Linked DNA regions of Caenorhabditis elegans. The protein of the gene in region 2 interacts with the protein of the main gene of each other region in a pairwise test. Each region holds a gene or a part of one and is shown on either strand. Other genes may lie near its edges.

What was found.
Region 1: the proteins of pag-3 (region 2) and sup-35 interact in a two-hybrid assay, tested with the Caenorhabditis elegans proteins (one large-scale study listed by BioGRID).

What each region holds. Positions count from the first base shown.
Region 1 is NC_003281.10:11,114,009-11,122,027, reverse strand, and holds sup-35 (Regulator of microtubule dynamics protein 1), read left to right. Parts: upstream 1-2,801; 5' UTR 2,802-2,828; coding exon 2,829-2,887; intron 2,888-2,931; coding exon 2,932-3,081; intron 3,082-3,124; coding exon 3,125-3,242; intron 3,243-3,543; exon of another isoform or gene 3,544-3,667; intron 3,668-4,070; coding exon 4,071-4,139; intron 4,140-4,190; coding exon 4,191-4,793; 3' UTR 4,794-5,805; coding exon of another isoform or gene 5,806-5,877; 3' UTR 5,878-6,274; downstream 6,275-8,019. Other genes in the region: Y48A6C.4 (Pre-rRNA-processing protein Ipi1 N-terminal domain-containing protein), read right to left, coding at 458-578, 629-736, 1,442-1,610, 1,655-1,908, 1,956-2,074, 2,120-2,225.
Region 2 is NC_003284.9:14,949,025-14,957,579, forward strand, and holds pag-3 (Zinc finger protein GFI1 homolog pag-3), read right to left. Parts: upstream 5,625-8,555; 5' UTR 5,498-5,624; coding exon 5,416-5,497; intron 5,370-5,415; coding exon 5,259-5,369; intron 5,214-5,258; coding exon 5,079-5,213; intron 5,029-5,078; coding exon 4,931-5,028; intron 4,882-4,930; coding exon 4,814-4,881; intron 4,756-4,813; coding exon 4,634-4,755; intron 3,037-4,633; exon of another isoform or gene 2,887-3,036; intron 2,795-2,886; coding exon 2,703-2,794; intron 2,653-2,702; coding exon 2,556-2,652; intron 2,433-2,555; coding exon 2,327-2,432; intron 2,276-2,326; coding exon 2,176-2,275; 3' UTR 1,728-2,175; downstream 1-1,727. UniProt on the Caenorhabditis elegans protein: Transcription factor. Plays a role in the determination of neuroblast cell fate and neuronal differentiation.

The sequences.
Region 1 (8,019 bases), on a different chromosome or scaffold from region 2:
TCGGAATATTTTTCAAGCGAAATTGCTGGATTTTCACCTCAAAAATTGTGAAAAATGCATAGAAACGTTGGAAGACAGCTGAAAATTGTAATTTTTCGCTAAAATTTAAGTTTTTCTGCTTTTTTGGAGCATTTTGAGCTCACTTTTATGAAGTTTTATTGAAAATTTTCGATTTTTCAGTCTGAAAATCGGTTAAATGCTTTCAAAATCCCATTTTCAGATTTTTTTGGACATTTTTTTAAACAAATTTAGTGGATTTTCAGCTAAGAGAGAAATTCTTGGGTTTTTAAGCTAAAATGGCCGATTTTTCAGCAAAATTCCTGATTTTCGACGGAAAATTACGAACTGTGATCAATTTTAGCGGTTTCGGAGCAATTTTAAAGCAAATTTCCTGGATTTTCATCGGTTTTCTACTCAAAATTCCCGATTTTTAGCTAAAAATCTGCAAAATCCGTACAAATAATTGGCGCCAGTACATTTGCCAAATTGAGCAAAGCATCCGGCAGCTCAAATGGTGAAACTGCATTGGATTTCGATGAGCTCACAACTCCAAATTCGAATGGGCTCACGTCGGGATTCTGAAATTTATGGAATTTTAGGCTTTTTTACGTGGAAAAATTGCAAAAACCTGCACAAAAACTCGTTTCAAATCACTTTTTCCCTCGATTTTCTCATTTTCGAATCGGATTTCCAGGGTGGAAGGATCCACGTGTCGTTCTCGATTTATATCGTAAATCTGAAAGAAAAAAAAAATATTTTTTCGAAGTTTTTTAGAGTTTTCAGCGAATTTTCAAGCTTTTAAATGAAATAATTACGAGATTTCGTGCATTTTTTCCAGATTTTCACTGAAAAAACTGCAAATTTCGTCAATTTTCAGTATTTTTTCTGAAAAAAAACTAGATGCCAGTGAATTTTCAGCTTTTTTACAATAAAATTGCCATTTTTAACAGGTTTCGGTCAAAATTTTGTGGTTTTTAGTAATTTTTTGGAGTTTTCAACTGAAAATTGCAATTTAAAAAATGTATTTTTCGGATTTTCAGCCAACTTCTAAGATTTTTACTGAAAAATATCAATTTTCTGGGAAATCGCTGAGTTTTCAGCTTTTTTAACCACAAAATTTGAATTTTTCACTAGTTTTCAGTCGAAAATTTGTGTTTTAAACAGAAAGTTCAAGTTTAAAAATTTATTTTTCGGATTTTCAGTCAACTTCCAAGATTTTTACCGAAAGATACAGAATTTAATCCATTTTTTAAGTTTTTTCAGCGCAAAATTGCAATTTTGCTCTGATTCTTGCTGCAAAATCGGATTTTTTATCGATTTTTCTTCATTTTTTTCTGGTTTTTTTGTGTTTTCCAGGACCACACATAAAAATGCAGTTTAAAATCGATTTTCTCGAATTTCTAGTGAATTTTTCGCAATTTCCAGGCAAAAAACTACGAACATTGATGAAATTGAGAATTGTATCGATTAATCCCGGCTTATTCCACGCCAGACGCTTCGAACTGCCCAGATAATTGATAAAACAGGGGAAGAGATCGGCATGATTCCGGCAAAGGCTCGGATATCGATCGAGAAGCACCGAAAGTGTGCTCAGTGCGAGGTGGCGGACTCTGAAAATTCAAAATTTCCCATTTTTCAGAAAAAATCCACTCACTCTGTGACGATATTCGTTAGAGCGCGGAGCACGTGGGACAGGAAAAGTGTGATATGAGCCGACATTGCTTGAATTGAAGCTGTACACAGAATTTTGTAGAGATTCAGTAGATTCTGACGTGTGGAGGGCTCGAAAGAAGCGTCAGCCACGTGCACAGCCACGCAGGGAACCAAAAGCCTCAACTGGACGTTGACAAGATCCGGGCGAGACGTTAAAATCTGTTTTAGTCCTTGAATAGCGTTCATTTTCACTTTCTGAACGAGAATTTATTAATTTTGATCGATATTCAGCGAAAAATTACCGCATTAAAGTGCCCCATCTGCTTGCAGAGCTCATCGAGCGTTAGACCACGGAAACTAAGTGGATTATCATCTGTTTCCACTTTTTCCTCCAACTGAGTCGCCAATACTACTCGTTTTGCTGAAAAAATGAATTAAAATTCGCGAAAATCGGGTGAAAACTCACCTTTGATAGTCGTGTCGGTGGTCGTCGTTTTTTTCAGCTTTTTTCCCACCTTCAGCTTGACTTTTTTGAAATCTTCGTTTTTCCGTGCCTTCTTTTTGGTCACCATCTGCAAAAAATGTTAATTTTCGCGTGTTTCTTGAGAGAATAACAAGAAAAATGCGAAAATGGCAAAGGAAAAAAAAAGAGAGGAGAGACCACGCCTCGGTGAAGTGCAAGTTTCATAGATATTGATTCGAGAGAAAATTATTCCCATAAATAGAAACATCACGCCCAATTTTTAATATTTTCTTTTATTCAGAGTTAAAATAAATTGAAAACCAAATTGTTAAAATTTTTCCCACTATGCTCAAATCAGATCCTTACAATAATTTATAATTATCCTGCGTTCCCGTTTCTGCACACTCATTTATCTCATAATACAGCAACGTCTCCAAAGCAAAAGCGCTCTACTGCGCATAGGAAAAAGGCGCGAATCGAGTGATTTGAATAATTTCGCGGTGTTTTACCGCATTTTATCTTCTTTTTTCTCATTTTTAAACGACGTTTTACTCTTATAAATATTTTTCACGTATTATAGTTTCATATATCTTTCACACATTCGTCCTCCTAAAAAATTTAGTGATTCTGAAGGCTCGTAATTTATATGGCATGAATGTTCTGAAATATTCCTAATTTTTTGAACTTTCAGATTTTTATTTTTGAACATAAAATGGCTCACACTTTTGCGTGCCCACGTGGAGATTGTGGACTTTTTTCGCTTTCCAAACTGTAAGTCAAACATTGTATTGCATAATCACCGGTTTTTGTTTCAGGGACGATCATCTCACTGCGGATCATCATCTGGAACACATGTGTTCAGAGTGCGAAGAGAGCTTTGGCTCTGCAGAAGAGGCCAAAGAGCATACTCTTTTAGCTCACGAAAATGCTCAAACATTCGATGATCCAAAAATTAGAAATACTAGGTATTGTTGTTATCTCAGAGCTAAAATAAATATAATATTTCAGAATTGTAGATTCCATAATTGCAGCAGTGAGAGTATCCGGTGATGTGATTGAAGAATTCAATTCAGTGATCATGCGAGCGGTTATTCGTCATTGGGGAAACACGAGCACGGAAAAGCTGGTAAGGAGCAGATGATAATTTTATTTTATCTGAGAATGCGTTTTGCGCAAAATATCTTGTATCGAAAACTACAGTAACTTTTTCAAAGACTACTGTATCACTAGCGGCGACTTACGGAAATCATTCGATAAAAATTAAAAGAAATCACAAAAATGACAACAACTTGAATTTCGCTGTCACAATTTGATCAGAAAATTACAAATAGCAAGCCAATACATCGACGCCAGTTCTACAGTAGGCAGTTCAGGTTTTTTATACAGTTAAGTATTATATTAAAAGTAAAATATTAAAACTGTCACCTTAAATTTGAATCCAGCCAAGCCCGCGAAAAACTCCGCTCGATTTCGGATGCCGAAAATTGGCTCGAATCGAGAGATATTCGGGAGATGCTGGAATCAAATAAGACCTACTTTCTTTTAGATTTCCGCCGATCACCACAAAAATGAAAAGAGTGGGTAATATATCGCGGCCGACAACCCACGGGTTCCGCGCCTCGCTATAAATTAAGTAAATTAAGCCACGCCCTTCAAAAGCACACCAACTGATAGGGTGTGGCTTAATTGACTTAATTTAGAGCGAGGCGCGGAACCCGTGGGTTGTCGGCCGCCATGTATTACCCACTCTTTTCATTTTTGTGGTGATCGGCGGAAATCTAAAAGAAAGTAGGTCTTATTTGATTCCAGCATCTCCCGAATATCTCTCGATTCGAGCCAATTTTTGGCATCCGAAATCGAGAGGGAATTTTTCACGGGCTTGGCTAAATTCAAATTTGATGTGACAGTTTTAAAATTTTGATACTCTTTTTAACGAAAAATTATTCGATTTCAGATTGCTGTCGTTGATTCTCCAATGATTACTCGTGACTTCTATATCGACTGTTTTGAAGCTTTAAAGATGGTAGACTATTCATTTGTATTTAAACAATGAAATAAAATTCGAAATTTGCAGAGATACGATTCTGGAGAGAAGTCCATCGATCTTCTCTGTCGTTTGGCAAAATTGTGTACAAAAATTGGAAATTTTGTTGAGAAGGAAAAGAGAAAGGACATCATAATCAAAGGAAAGATGTACGCTACCGAAGCCTGGAACACCGATTCGTACAACATCTTGGCTGCTCATTGGGCCGCTGTGATGTCAGGAAAGGCAATCGAATATCTTGAAGGCGATGAAAAGAATCTGGAGATGAGACACTGCAGACAATATCTCGATCGTGCCATCTCTATCCAGGCAGGAAAAAATGCAATGTACAATAATATTCTTGGCCGTTGGGCTCTTTCAGCACTGGAGATTTGGGAGTCTGACCGACAACAGTTAATTCATCATTATGCCACCCCATATGACGCTATCGACGATGCCATTTATCAGTTCAGATCCGCTTTCGATCTCATACCGTATTGGATCGATAATATTGTACACCTGGGCAAAGCGCTTCTTTACAATGAAAACAAAGAAGCCGCCATTGGAATGTTTCAGCTCGCACTCAAAATGGACCCGTCGAACGATATCGAGAAAGAGTTGCTCGCCGACGCCCTTGACTTGTGCTCAATTTGATCCTTCTTTTATTTCCATTTTATTTTCTGTGTCTCATTTTTCCGTTTGCACTTTCCTCCGTTTTTTTATTGTAAAAATTCCGTAAAAATCGGCCCAAAATTCCCATTTTCAGGGGATTCTTGGAGCCCAACTTCTTTTTTTAAAAATTTGGATTTTTAAATTTTTCCCCGATTTTCTATAGGAAATTCCAAAACATTTACTGAAAAATAGAAAAAAAAATGGCCAGATTTCTCGAAAAAATTAAAATTTTTGGAATTTTTCTGATTTTTAGCTAATTTTTTGAAAAAACTGGCTCAAAAATTTTTTTTTGGTATTTTTTAAAGAATTTTTATTTTTAGAAAATCCGTGAAAATTGAGGGAAATTGAGCCAGAAATTTGGTATTTTGGAGCCCAAAATCTGTTAATTTTTATTTTTAAATTTCCACGAATTTTAAGCTAATTTTCTGAAGAAGTTGGCTCAAAATTTCGGTTTTTTGGAATTTATTTTTTTCCTGAATTCCTAGAATTTATAGTGTAGTTGATCCGGAAATTCTATTTTTCTCAAATAATTGAAAATTTTTACTTTCAGAAAATCCCTGAAAATTGAGTGAAATTGAGCTCAAAATTCATATTCTTCTCAAAAAATTGATTTTTCTGTTGAAACTTCCTTGAGAAAATTTCTAGAAGAAGCTGGCTCAAAATTTCGAATTTTTGGAAAGTTTTTGGAATTTTCATAATCAAGTTTTTTTCGAAAAAATTGAAATTCCGCCGAGTTTAAGCTAATTTTTAGAATTTTTCTCAGTTAACGGTTCTTTTCTAGTGAAAAATTCCAAAATTTAGAAATTTAAAAATCCCTTTTCCCCTTATAAATTGCCCCAAACATTTCCGCTTCAACCAATTTTTCAACATTTTTATTCTATATTTAACGGCTATACAAAAAAATCGATAATTTCTCAGGTTTTCACCTCTATTTCCTATCTTGTTCACACGCCTCGGTCCCAAAATTTAATAGATTTTCAGGCCAAAAAAACCAATGGGGTTTTTACAAATTCTTCAAGAATGTCGAGCCGAAGGACTATGGCCAATTGGGCCATCTTGTAATAAGGTGCTGTGAAAAATTTGGAAAAAAATTATTATACATTCGTCGAAAAATTTCATCTCAGTTTAAAGGCGCACACATTTTTTGTACTTTGGGTCTCACCACGATTTCGACTTTTTGAAGCTTAAAATCACTAAAAATTACGTGGATCGTGGCAGGACAAAAAAGTGTTATTATACATTCGCCAAAAAATGCCAGCTGATGAAAGGTGCATGTTTTTTGCAAAAATTGCAAAAAATTACCAATCGAAAAAAAAAACTCATATTTTTCCGATGGGTCTCGCCACGATCTGCGTCTTTTGGATCCTAAAAGAACCCAAAATTATGTGAATCGTGGCGGGACCCAGAAGTGTATGCGCCTTTAAAATAGGAGAGTATATTTTTGAGAATGTGTAATAATTTATTTTTTTGCTTTGAAGAAACTTTTTATCATTTTATGATAATAATAATTTTATTATACATACGTCGAAAAAATGTCATGGCAATTACCTTTAGGTCTCGCCACGATCTACGTCTTTTGGATCCTAGAAGCGTCCAAAATCACGCAATTCGTGACGAGACCCAACAGTGTATGCGTCTTTAAAATAAGCTTGCATAATTGTGGGAATGTATAATAATTTATTATTGTATTTTTTCAATTATTTATTACAAAAAAATGTATCAAAAAATTTTATACAAATCAACAAAAAAAACAAAAACAATTTTTTTCGTGTACTCCACACGGACAACAAACTGTAGTTTTACAACTAAAACGCGCCGTAAATCTACACAAAATCTCTCCGACCCAAAATGGCCTAATTCGGCAAACTCTGCCATTTCGATTCATGAGGGAAGCCAGAATTCCGTGTTTTAACCGAAAATTCCAGAGTCTATCAAAAAATTCCAATTTCACCTTTCTACCGTAGTCCAGCGCGGGAATTCAAAATTCTCACGTTCCACCGGTCTCCCTTATCAATATATATATCATCCTCACGGGGTTCTGGCTCGACCCCCCTCTCGAAAATTTTGGAAAATGGCGGGAAAAAATATTTGATCTCGCAAGAGGAATTTTCACGCAGCGCGTTGAAAAAGTGTATGCATTTGCGCGTGACGGTGTTTGCACAAAATACACCGAGGGGTCGAGCCAGAACCCCGTGCATCCTCCCAATCACTTTCACTGGTTACTTTTTCATTTTACCTTTTTTTTTACGAATTTCCGTTCGCGAAACCAAAAAAAAAATTCCAAAAAAAAGACCGGTGGCTATAATTACAGTACTGCTATTTTCGCATCGCCAAGGGGGTTAGATCAGGGGTGCGCGGCAATTGCCGTACGGCAATCGAATTGTCGGCAATTTCGGCAATTGCCGAAATTGCCGATTGCCGAAAATTTTGAAAACCGGCAATTGTCGAAATTGCCGATTGCCGGAAATTTTCGATTGCCGCGCACCCCTGGGTTAGATGTTCTTCTCTCCTATGTGTGTATATGTGCTATCAGTCGAGTACTGAAAATTGTGCATGATTTTTCAAAAAAAAAAAACCACCCAAGTCTTGACTCCTTTTTTTTCGCTGTTTTTTTCTGGAAAACTCAAAATATTTGTTCTCTATTTTTCAATAATTTTGAAAAATAAACCTTTAAATTGGCTCTCGCCACGATTTTAGCGGGTCTTTTTTTTCAAATTTTCAAATTATATATTTTTTTATTTAACAATTCCAATTTTTACCGATTTTCATTGAAAATTGGCACGGGTTTCTAATTTCCCCCCTGTTTTCAAATGGAAGAGGTGGCCGTGAAAAAAGCGAACCTCGACCGGGGGTCGCGACCGGGAAAACTCAACGAAATTTCGCATTTTCGTTGCTTTTTTCGGTTTCAAAACACGTTTTCGTTTGATTTTGTATTAAATAAAATGCAAAATCGATTGAAAACGTGTTTTGAAACCGAAGAAAGCAACGAAAATGCGAAATTTCGTTAAGTTTTTCCGGTCGCGACCCCCGGTCGAGGTTCGCTTTTTTCACGGCCACCTCTTCCATTTGAAAACAGGGGGAAATTAGAAACCCGTGAATTGGCGAATTCTCATTTAAAAAGTTTAAAAATTGCTTGAGACTTACAGTAGTTTTAAAGGAGCATGCACAAATTCTTGCGATGGGTCTTGCCACGAACTCTATTCTTCGA
Region 2 (8,555 bases):
ACATTAGATTTCTAGATAATCGTTTCATTTTTTATTCTTGTTCACTACTTATGAAGCTTGAAGAATTGCTCCAAAAGCAATGTTACAGACTCTTGATGTTTCTTGCAAATGTTTGGCCTGAATTTATCTCTGACTTCGGCCTGCTATAGTAATTTCCAAGACAACTAACAGTTTTGCAGCAAAAACCGCAAATCATTTTCAATTTAATTACTGCCATCTTTGCACAGTTTTATAGTTTATTATAGTTTATCAGTGGTTTTTTTAAATCAAAGTGCATTTTTACAATAGTTATTCAAATTTGGTAACATTTGTGAACTTACTACCAAATATACAATTTAAAAAGGTTTTGTAATTTATAAATACCATTAATAAAATTCTCAACATCACTGCAAACATGACTTAAGTTAATATACAAAATTATTTCTCAAATTCCTTCCAGCAAAGAAGTTGTGTCTCATTTCACAAACCCCGAAAGACAACTCCTCGTAGCATCTTTCGGTCTTTCTTCTCGGCGGGTTTTGCTCATTTCCAAACTAATTACTTGCACTGCATCAGTTGGAAAATCCCTCAACACCCATATTCCGGTGGCTTTTGGTAGGTGCTTTGTGATTAGGTTATGCTATTTGTAAGTCACACGAAATGACCTAATTTCGCTGGCTTTTTCTTTTCCTGTCCTTTTAATCTTCTTTTTCAACCATGGCTTTCCGAGGCTTCGTAACCGCATTGTGGCTTTATTGGGAATGAGAATTTTTGAAATTGTTGCTACGAGTTTCGGAGAACATCAGTACATCAGTACATCAATGAGTAGCAGAATGAAACAGGAACCCAAAAACCAACTCAAATAAAATATTATTTGAAAATTTGAAAAAAATGTACCAAGAGGTACCCTGAAAGTTGGGAATGTGTGGCCAATGTGATACGTCTTTGAATTTATTTTAAAATTCAGTTGCAGCTTCTTAACGAACTTTTTTCGAATTTTTACCATTTTTTTACAGCGGCTATTAATTGACATTTAATCAGTCATTCTTCATTGAACAAATTTTTTGGCATTAATTTTGCGTTGTTTCTCAGTTAAAGAAGGACTAACAGTTCGGACGATTTGAAATGTATAGACCCAAAACAAGCTTAAATGAACGATATTCGTGATTAAGCTTCTCAAAAAAAAATTTCGAAAAATTTTTATGGCGGTTCAAAATTTCGACAAAATTGCACTGATTTTAGCTGGAATCTCGAAATTTTTCCCACTTTTCTGTGTCGCATCAGTCCGATGTTGACTTTTTGCATATTCTGGTAGTTTATATTGTTCAATATCTCCAAATAAGGTACATTTAAAGCCGATAGCTTACAAATTTCAATGATTTTTGAAAAAAAAATGGGTGCAAAAATTTTGTGACTGTTTCACACATCAACCGAAAAATTATCTCCTAGCATGAAAGAGCATGATGAACCAGACAAATCTCGTCAGACCCATAATAGTCCAAAATTACCAAATATTTAAAAACTAATTATATAAGTTCCAAAGTTTTGGTAAACTGCCAAACTTTTGAACTGAAAGTACCATAAAGCTGCATTCAAATTTTTTCTACTTGCTATATTAATTTTTTTTAATTGAAAAATTTTGCTCTACAAATGTACTGAATTTTTTAAAAACCGTGTTTACTTGCAATTTTAAAGTTATCGGGTCTGACTTGAGTGCGTGTTAATAAAATTTGATAAACGAGTTTCAATATTAAACATTGTTTATTAATAAGGCTAGGCTACTCACCGAAAGCATTTCAAAAATGACAGAAAAAAACAACTGTTAATTGAAAAAAGGGAAATTTGAATAAAGCAAAAAAGCAAATACATCATATGTGCGTGTAACATCGCAATACCATAAAATTATGGAAAAGGAACTGAAAAAGAACAGATATGTATAAAACGTCTGACCATTAGCGATATAAACAATAATCAGTACATAATGTATGTGTTTTGAAAAAAGGATGACAATTGATGTTGAGGCTTGTTTAAGGATAAGAGATCAATCATCGAGTTTGTGAACTGTGTTAATGAAATTGAGGTAAGGAAAAATGTCAGTAGATAGAAAGGAATTTTTTACTAAATACAAAAAACCAAAGGTAACCAGCACAATTCTCATTGTCCTTATTACCTTTGAATACAAGAATTTCACACAAATTATGACACGCTCAAATTCAGTACTTTCTCCTCTTCATCATCAGCTTCCTCCATTTCCTCGCCCATCTCTGCTTTGATCGCGAGCAGCTCGGCGGGTAATCTAAAAAAAGCACAGTTTTATTTGATTGCACAATTTTGTTTGTGAACATGCCTAAACACGTTGAGAAATTCATCGGAAGAGTCGAGATACCCGTTGCTCGTCGGAGGTGTCATGTATCCTTTCGGGGAGAGATCCGATGAAATTTGAGAAGCAGACACTGCAATTGTTACGGTTGGTTTGATGGAAAAAGGGGGGGAGGGGGGTACTGTAGCATTTCAAAAGGAACAACCAACGAGAAAATGGTGTCCTTGATTGGCTGAAATTTGAGTGAAAAACGAACCGCATTCTTCGGGGTGGCCCGGATGGTGACTCTCGCGGTGCCGACGGCGGTCCACTTTGCGTTGGAACGTCCGACCACATACATCACAGGCAAATGGCTGAAGATAATGACCTCATTTTTAAAGAATAAGGAAAGGAGAACTGTTACCTTAAATCCAGTGTGTTTTCGTGTGTGGGTGATAAGGTTAGAAGACTGACTGAACGCTTTTCCACATACAGTACACTTGTGTGGTTTTTCACCTGAAAATAAAGTATGGGAAGTTTTAGATTAGACATTTTATTTTGTGTAATAAATTTTGGGCACGGGTGGCTAAGTGGTAGTGGTGTAGCACTGTCGCCCAAGAGGTCGCAAGTTCAATCCCACCACACCCCAAAAGCTCACCCAGCCGGCGTGGAAAGTGGGTAGTGAATTTGGTTCACGAAAGGTAAATCGGAGCATACTGCTAGTCCCGGTACGGCCTTAATTCAGACTAGAAGAGATATAAACGCAACCAGTAACCCTGATAAATCTCTGGGCCGCAGGAGGCTTCGGCTCACCCTTGAACCAAACGGACAACCTTTGTCTTTTTTTTTTAATTTTGTGTAATAAATTTTCAAACTATATTTAGAACTCAGCAGTCAAAATATAATTTTTTTTTGAAACCCTGTTTTAGGGGGAATTTGTATTTTATAAAATAAGTGAATTACTTTTCACTACAAACTTTCAATGCGTCCATGAAAAATATATGTTTTATTTTCAAAGGCAACGTTTAATTTATAGCAATTGTCTCAAATTGAACCTTAAAAAAATACAAATTTTGTTATTATTCTGTTGCACAGCAAAACCCCGTCTAGAGATGGAATCCCAAAGTTTTCATTGCTTCTTTTTCTTGTCAACTTCTGTAGATTGCTTTGCTTGTCAGCATACAAGATTTAATTTGTTTTTAATTTTCAAACGTCATTCAAAGAATCTTTTCTCTCCGCGCTTATCCAATACCCTACCCCTACCCCCCCCCCCCTACTTCCAACCTTTGACATCTCCCCTCAGAATTTTAATTTGAAGCAATTTTGCAATGTTCAAGCTGTGTTGAGCTCAGCGATGCTCCTCGCTGTGGTTTACTGCCTCTCGGGGAGTCTGTTAGTTGAGGATGGGGGGGAGGGGGATAGCAAAAACGCGATTTAATATTCAATTTTGATTTGTGTTGCGGAACGGTAGGGAGGAGGGGCACTGACATGACTCGACTCTTTCATACTGATTCATCAATCATACTTAGAGATGAGCAGGGCGCGCAGAAAAGAAGAGGAGGCTCATGTGCACACGCATCTGACAACTTTTCGATTCATAATAAACCAGAATAACGATTTCTCTTCTTTCAGAGTTGAATTTTCAATGAATCGTGTTAAGCGAAAATAAACGATGATTGCTTAAAACGAGTTGAAATTGTAATTGAAAAAGATATGGTGGTTCGCTTCAAAGACAAAATTTGAGTTAATTGAACTTATGAACTAGGGCTTTGAATCTTCTATAAAAAGCATGAAACCTTGCTGGAAACACTTATCAATATTTTTTAAGATAAACTGTCACATAAAGAAATAAGTGATGCCAAACTAGTAGGGAAAAATGGTAACTCAAAAAAAATTAAAAGAAAAGTCATAAAACCTTTTTTATTATTTTCTAAAAACTGGCTACATTGAATATTTATTCAAAAGCTTAAACGAACATATACATATAAAAAATAGGTTTGTCAGAAAATCCCACGTTTTTGAAGTACTCATGTATCATATTGCAAGCAAAATTTATATCGATTTTACGCCGTAGTGTCTCCTGCATCACAGCTAGTTTTATAATTTCAACATCCTAATGCGAGACCATGTCATAGAGGATTTTGTGTTTTTGAGCACAATGTACAATATAGGCAATTTAGTGGTTTGGGTGCAAAATACATACGTTCAGCGTGTTTGTAATTATTAAATTTTGTATTTCATTGGGAATAATTAATTTTAACCTAACTTTATGAGCAGAATTGCGTTATTATTTGCTGTTATAAATATTATCTTTATCGATAAATCTAGGATATCCTATCAATTTTACCAACATACCTGTATGAATATATGTGTGTTTTTTCATGTCCGACTTCTGATGAAATCTTTTTCCACAGTATTCACATGGATACGGCCTTGTGTCGGAGTGAATCAGAAGGTGTGTAGATAAGGTGGAAGATCTGAAATTGAAATTTACTTTTTTTTAAATTATGTTTTCATGATAATTAAAGTGCATACCTTTTGAAGGTTTTTCCACACTGCTTGCACTCAAATTGCTTATCGCTGACGTGTACTTGTTGGTGTTGCTGAAAAGTTTTAAATTTTTGAAAATTATTTTAAAAATACTGGTTTCACCTCTAGAGCAGCTATGGTAGAAAATAATTTTGTGCATTTTTGGCAATGAAACGGTTTGATTTCCACTGGAGGTGTCGGTGTTCGATTCCAAACTGAAGCTTAAAATACATATTAATGTGAATAGATAAATGTTCAAAAAGCTTGATACCTGATGGTGATTCAGGGTTCTGAGGGATGATACCCATTGCCATACTCCTCAGGTATTGCTGCCAGAACATGGGAGCGTTGAGAAATCCGAATGGAAAATTTCCAAGAATATTTACAGGAGGAGGACGGGGCATTGCTGAAATGAAACTTGATAGTTGGAAACTCGGAGGTTCTAGCATACTTTGCTGCATCATGAGGAGCTTTTGTTGTAGTGATATGGTAGCGGCCATTCTCTGCCAAGAACTCATCACATCTTCTGTGATCATGAACTCATTTCTATCTTCAATTGATTCTGAAAATGTCGTTATTTTTGAATTAAAATAGATTTATGCACAAACCTGTTGGTGAAACACTAGACTTTTCCACGTTCGAGAGTAACGATTCAACAGAATAGACATTTGACACGTGCTCAGTGCTCATCTTCGTCTCAACACACAAAAAATGAATAAGGGAGTAGGACGAGGACGAATCTCTGGAAACGCGTGCCTTGAATAAAAATTTTTGAAATCTTGAAATTCGAATTTGGCACCCTGTTCGCTGAGCCACTGAAAAAAAAGAAACGAAAATCTTTGTGATTTCTAGAGAATTGGATTAAATGAGACAAGAACAGCGGATGGGAAAACAAGAAGATGAAGACGTCAAATCAAGGGTCCATAGGGATTTCTGAGGATTTAGAAAAAGACGAAATCAAGGCCAATTAGGAACTTTGGAATGGATTAAAGATTTGAAACTGGAAAGTTAGCAGGAAGTGAAAACGAGTTGAATCTTTCTTTTTTTTTTCAAAGCCATTGTCATTTGTGCTCGGCGTAGTGTGAAAATAAGCATATAAATAATAAATATGAACATCAAACTGCATCACATCCCTATAAGCAGAGGGTAAATGGGGGGATGGCTTTGGATGTCCGAGCTGTGACGATTTGAAACTCGAGCTGGTCTACATTCAAAAACCCAACTGTGGAAGAATCTGAATGCATCTCAGCACTGATCCGTCCTCCTCCTCTTCATTTCGACCATGTTGCCCTGCCTCCTATTTTTCCCCTCAGATGCATGTTATTGGATCGCCCCGCCCCAGCAGGCAAAGTGTGCGGCGAGCTCTCGGTTAGCATATTTGTAGACGAGTCGAAAAAAGGGGAAGAGAAGCGTTGGAAAAAGAGCAGAAAGAATCCTTGAGGTCAGGTTTTATGCTCAATCTATTATGCTTGTTTTAATAATCTCATACGATTTACGATGTAGTTCAAGCATGAACTCAAAGTGACATAATCGGAGGCGCGCTGGTGAGTGTGAGCAACACTTTGCTCTTCTTGTCCAGCAAAGGGCATGTAAGGGACATTAATGGAATTTTTAAGAGCGTGAAGCGCAAGAATCTCACTGCCAGAATGCGAAAGTAGGAAATCTGCAAAAAAGAGGAAACGTCGAAAAACTGTTTCATCGAAAATTCATAGAGCTAAAAATCCCACGATTTCTTAGTACAAGGAACTCGAGCTTCAAGAAATAGAGAGCTTTTAGTTGGAAATAATAGAAGTTGATAACTTGAAGCAGGTCGTACAATGTGAAAATTTTACAGTATTTTCACAGTAGTTTAAATATCTCAGAAACTTCTGCAAAACTTGCAGAATTCTAACAAGATCAGTTGTAAATAAATTCACTTTCTGGAGTTGGATTTGGCAGTGCCTGTCAAAAATCTAGTGTCTGCTGCTAATTCGTATTCATTCCCCGTACCGTAATTAGTATTCATGTGCACTATGCGAGCTTGCGCACTCTTCAACATGTGGGAAGACAATCCATTGGAATTTCAATTTCTCGAATCGCATTTCAATCTTTTGGGTTGGCTTCAAAATGGTATACCCATTTCCGAGCTCTTTTCTCCACACTCAACCTTCCATCGCTCCTCCGGTGCTATGCATTTTTAAACGACTTCCCACAGTGATGGCGGGGGGTTCCAGGGATGGAGGAAGAGGGGGGGGGGGGGAAGAGCGAGAAGATTGAAATAAATTGAGTGTCATCCTAATGCATGAATTTGAGTTGGGTGGGCTCACTGTGTGATGGAAACGACGTGTCGAACAACACCCAGCCAAAATAGCGATATGGGTGTTGAATTGAATGCATACGGTCTTTTGATTTATGGAATTGTTTTTCGTGTTGGGTTAATTAGAAAAGAAGAAGTCCGTGAAAAATGGAAAAAAGTCTAAGAAATAGTTAGGTTTATGAGCATTTGGGGAGCTATCTTAGGTCAAGTTTTGGATGTTTTACAAAAATGTTAACATTTTTAAAACTAAATCCATATAGAGCTAGCCCATACATTCAATGTTTGTGGTCCACTGTTTGTTGGTTTTATAAATGCTCATTTTGTATTTCTAATGATCAAGTGTACACGAATATTTCCTCCGGTTGAAAATGCTCCTTAATAAGTCGAAAATGCAGTAGGTGCCGATTTTGGCATCCCCCTCCCCCCCCCCCCCCCCCACACACGTATATTCCCAAGCGGCTTCCCGTCTGCAATCGGTATGCATGACGAGAGGTGATTGGATTCGGAATCGCGTTTTGGGACGCGCACACACACGGGCGTAGATATTTGTCAAGAAATTTGTTTTGGCTTCTATTTGAGACGTGTGAATTTTCAGAATTGGTAATAGCCTTCTTCTTCTTCTCACCCACCAACCACACTCACCCAGGGTTTTGGATGACACTGATCCGAAATTCAGTGTACCTGAGAAAACTGGGAAACTATCAAATATCATAAATGTGCTGTGAGAAAAATTGGGATTCTAGAATACGAAACTTCAAAACGAAAGGAAGCATGAGGGAACAGAAACCGCGCCAAATTTGGAAATGCCCACTAATAAAACAAAAGTCAATTGTTTGCTCATTACTTTGATTGCGCGCTAAGCTAAGCACCTTGCGGCCAGGTTGAGTATGTAATATGAATCCTGAACGCTGAAAACTCTCAATTCCCTCCCATTCTGCCTACTTCATCTCCACTTTTGATTCTATTGGCTCAAAGCAATGAAAATGAAAAATATGGAGAAGATGAAGCCGGCTGACCAACCATCTCACCACTTTTATGATTTTTCAATTCAGAAATTTATCTATCCCCGGCTCTCCATATTACGCTGACTAGTAGCAAAAAGTGGCCTTCTTTTGCCTTCTCGCATGGAATATCTACCGTAGTCCCCCGGTACATATGGCGGCAGCTCCAGAGACTCAGAGAGGCGTAATTGGGAGGAAAAGCTATGCAGGAGAGGAAGAGTGAGCATCCTATCGTCAACCATTTTATGACGCAATCTAGCTGCCTGGATAGGATAACAGAGCAATTGTCCGGTTGGAGCAGTGCTCGGACGTTATCGGTTAGGTGTGTCTTACTCGTTTCAGGGATTCAACGGAAATTGCAGAAAGTTTTTTTTTGCAAATCAGTAATTAAATAAAACCTGCTCGGTAAGCTCCTAAAATTAAAGTTGAGAACTTAATCTGAAAAGAGTAA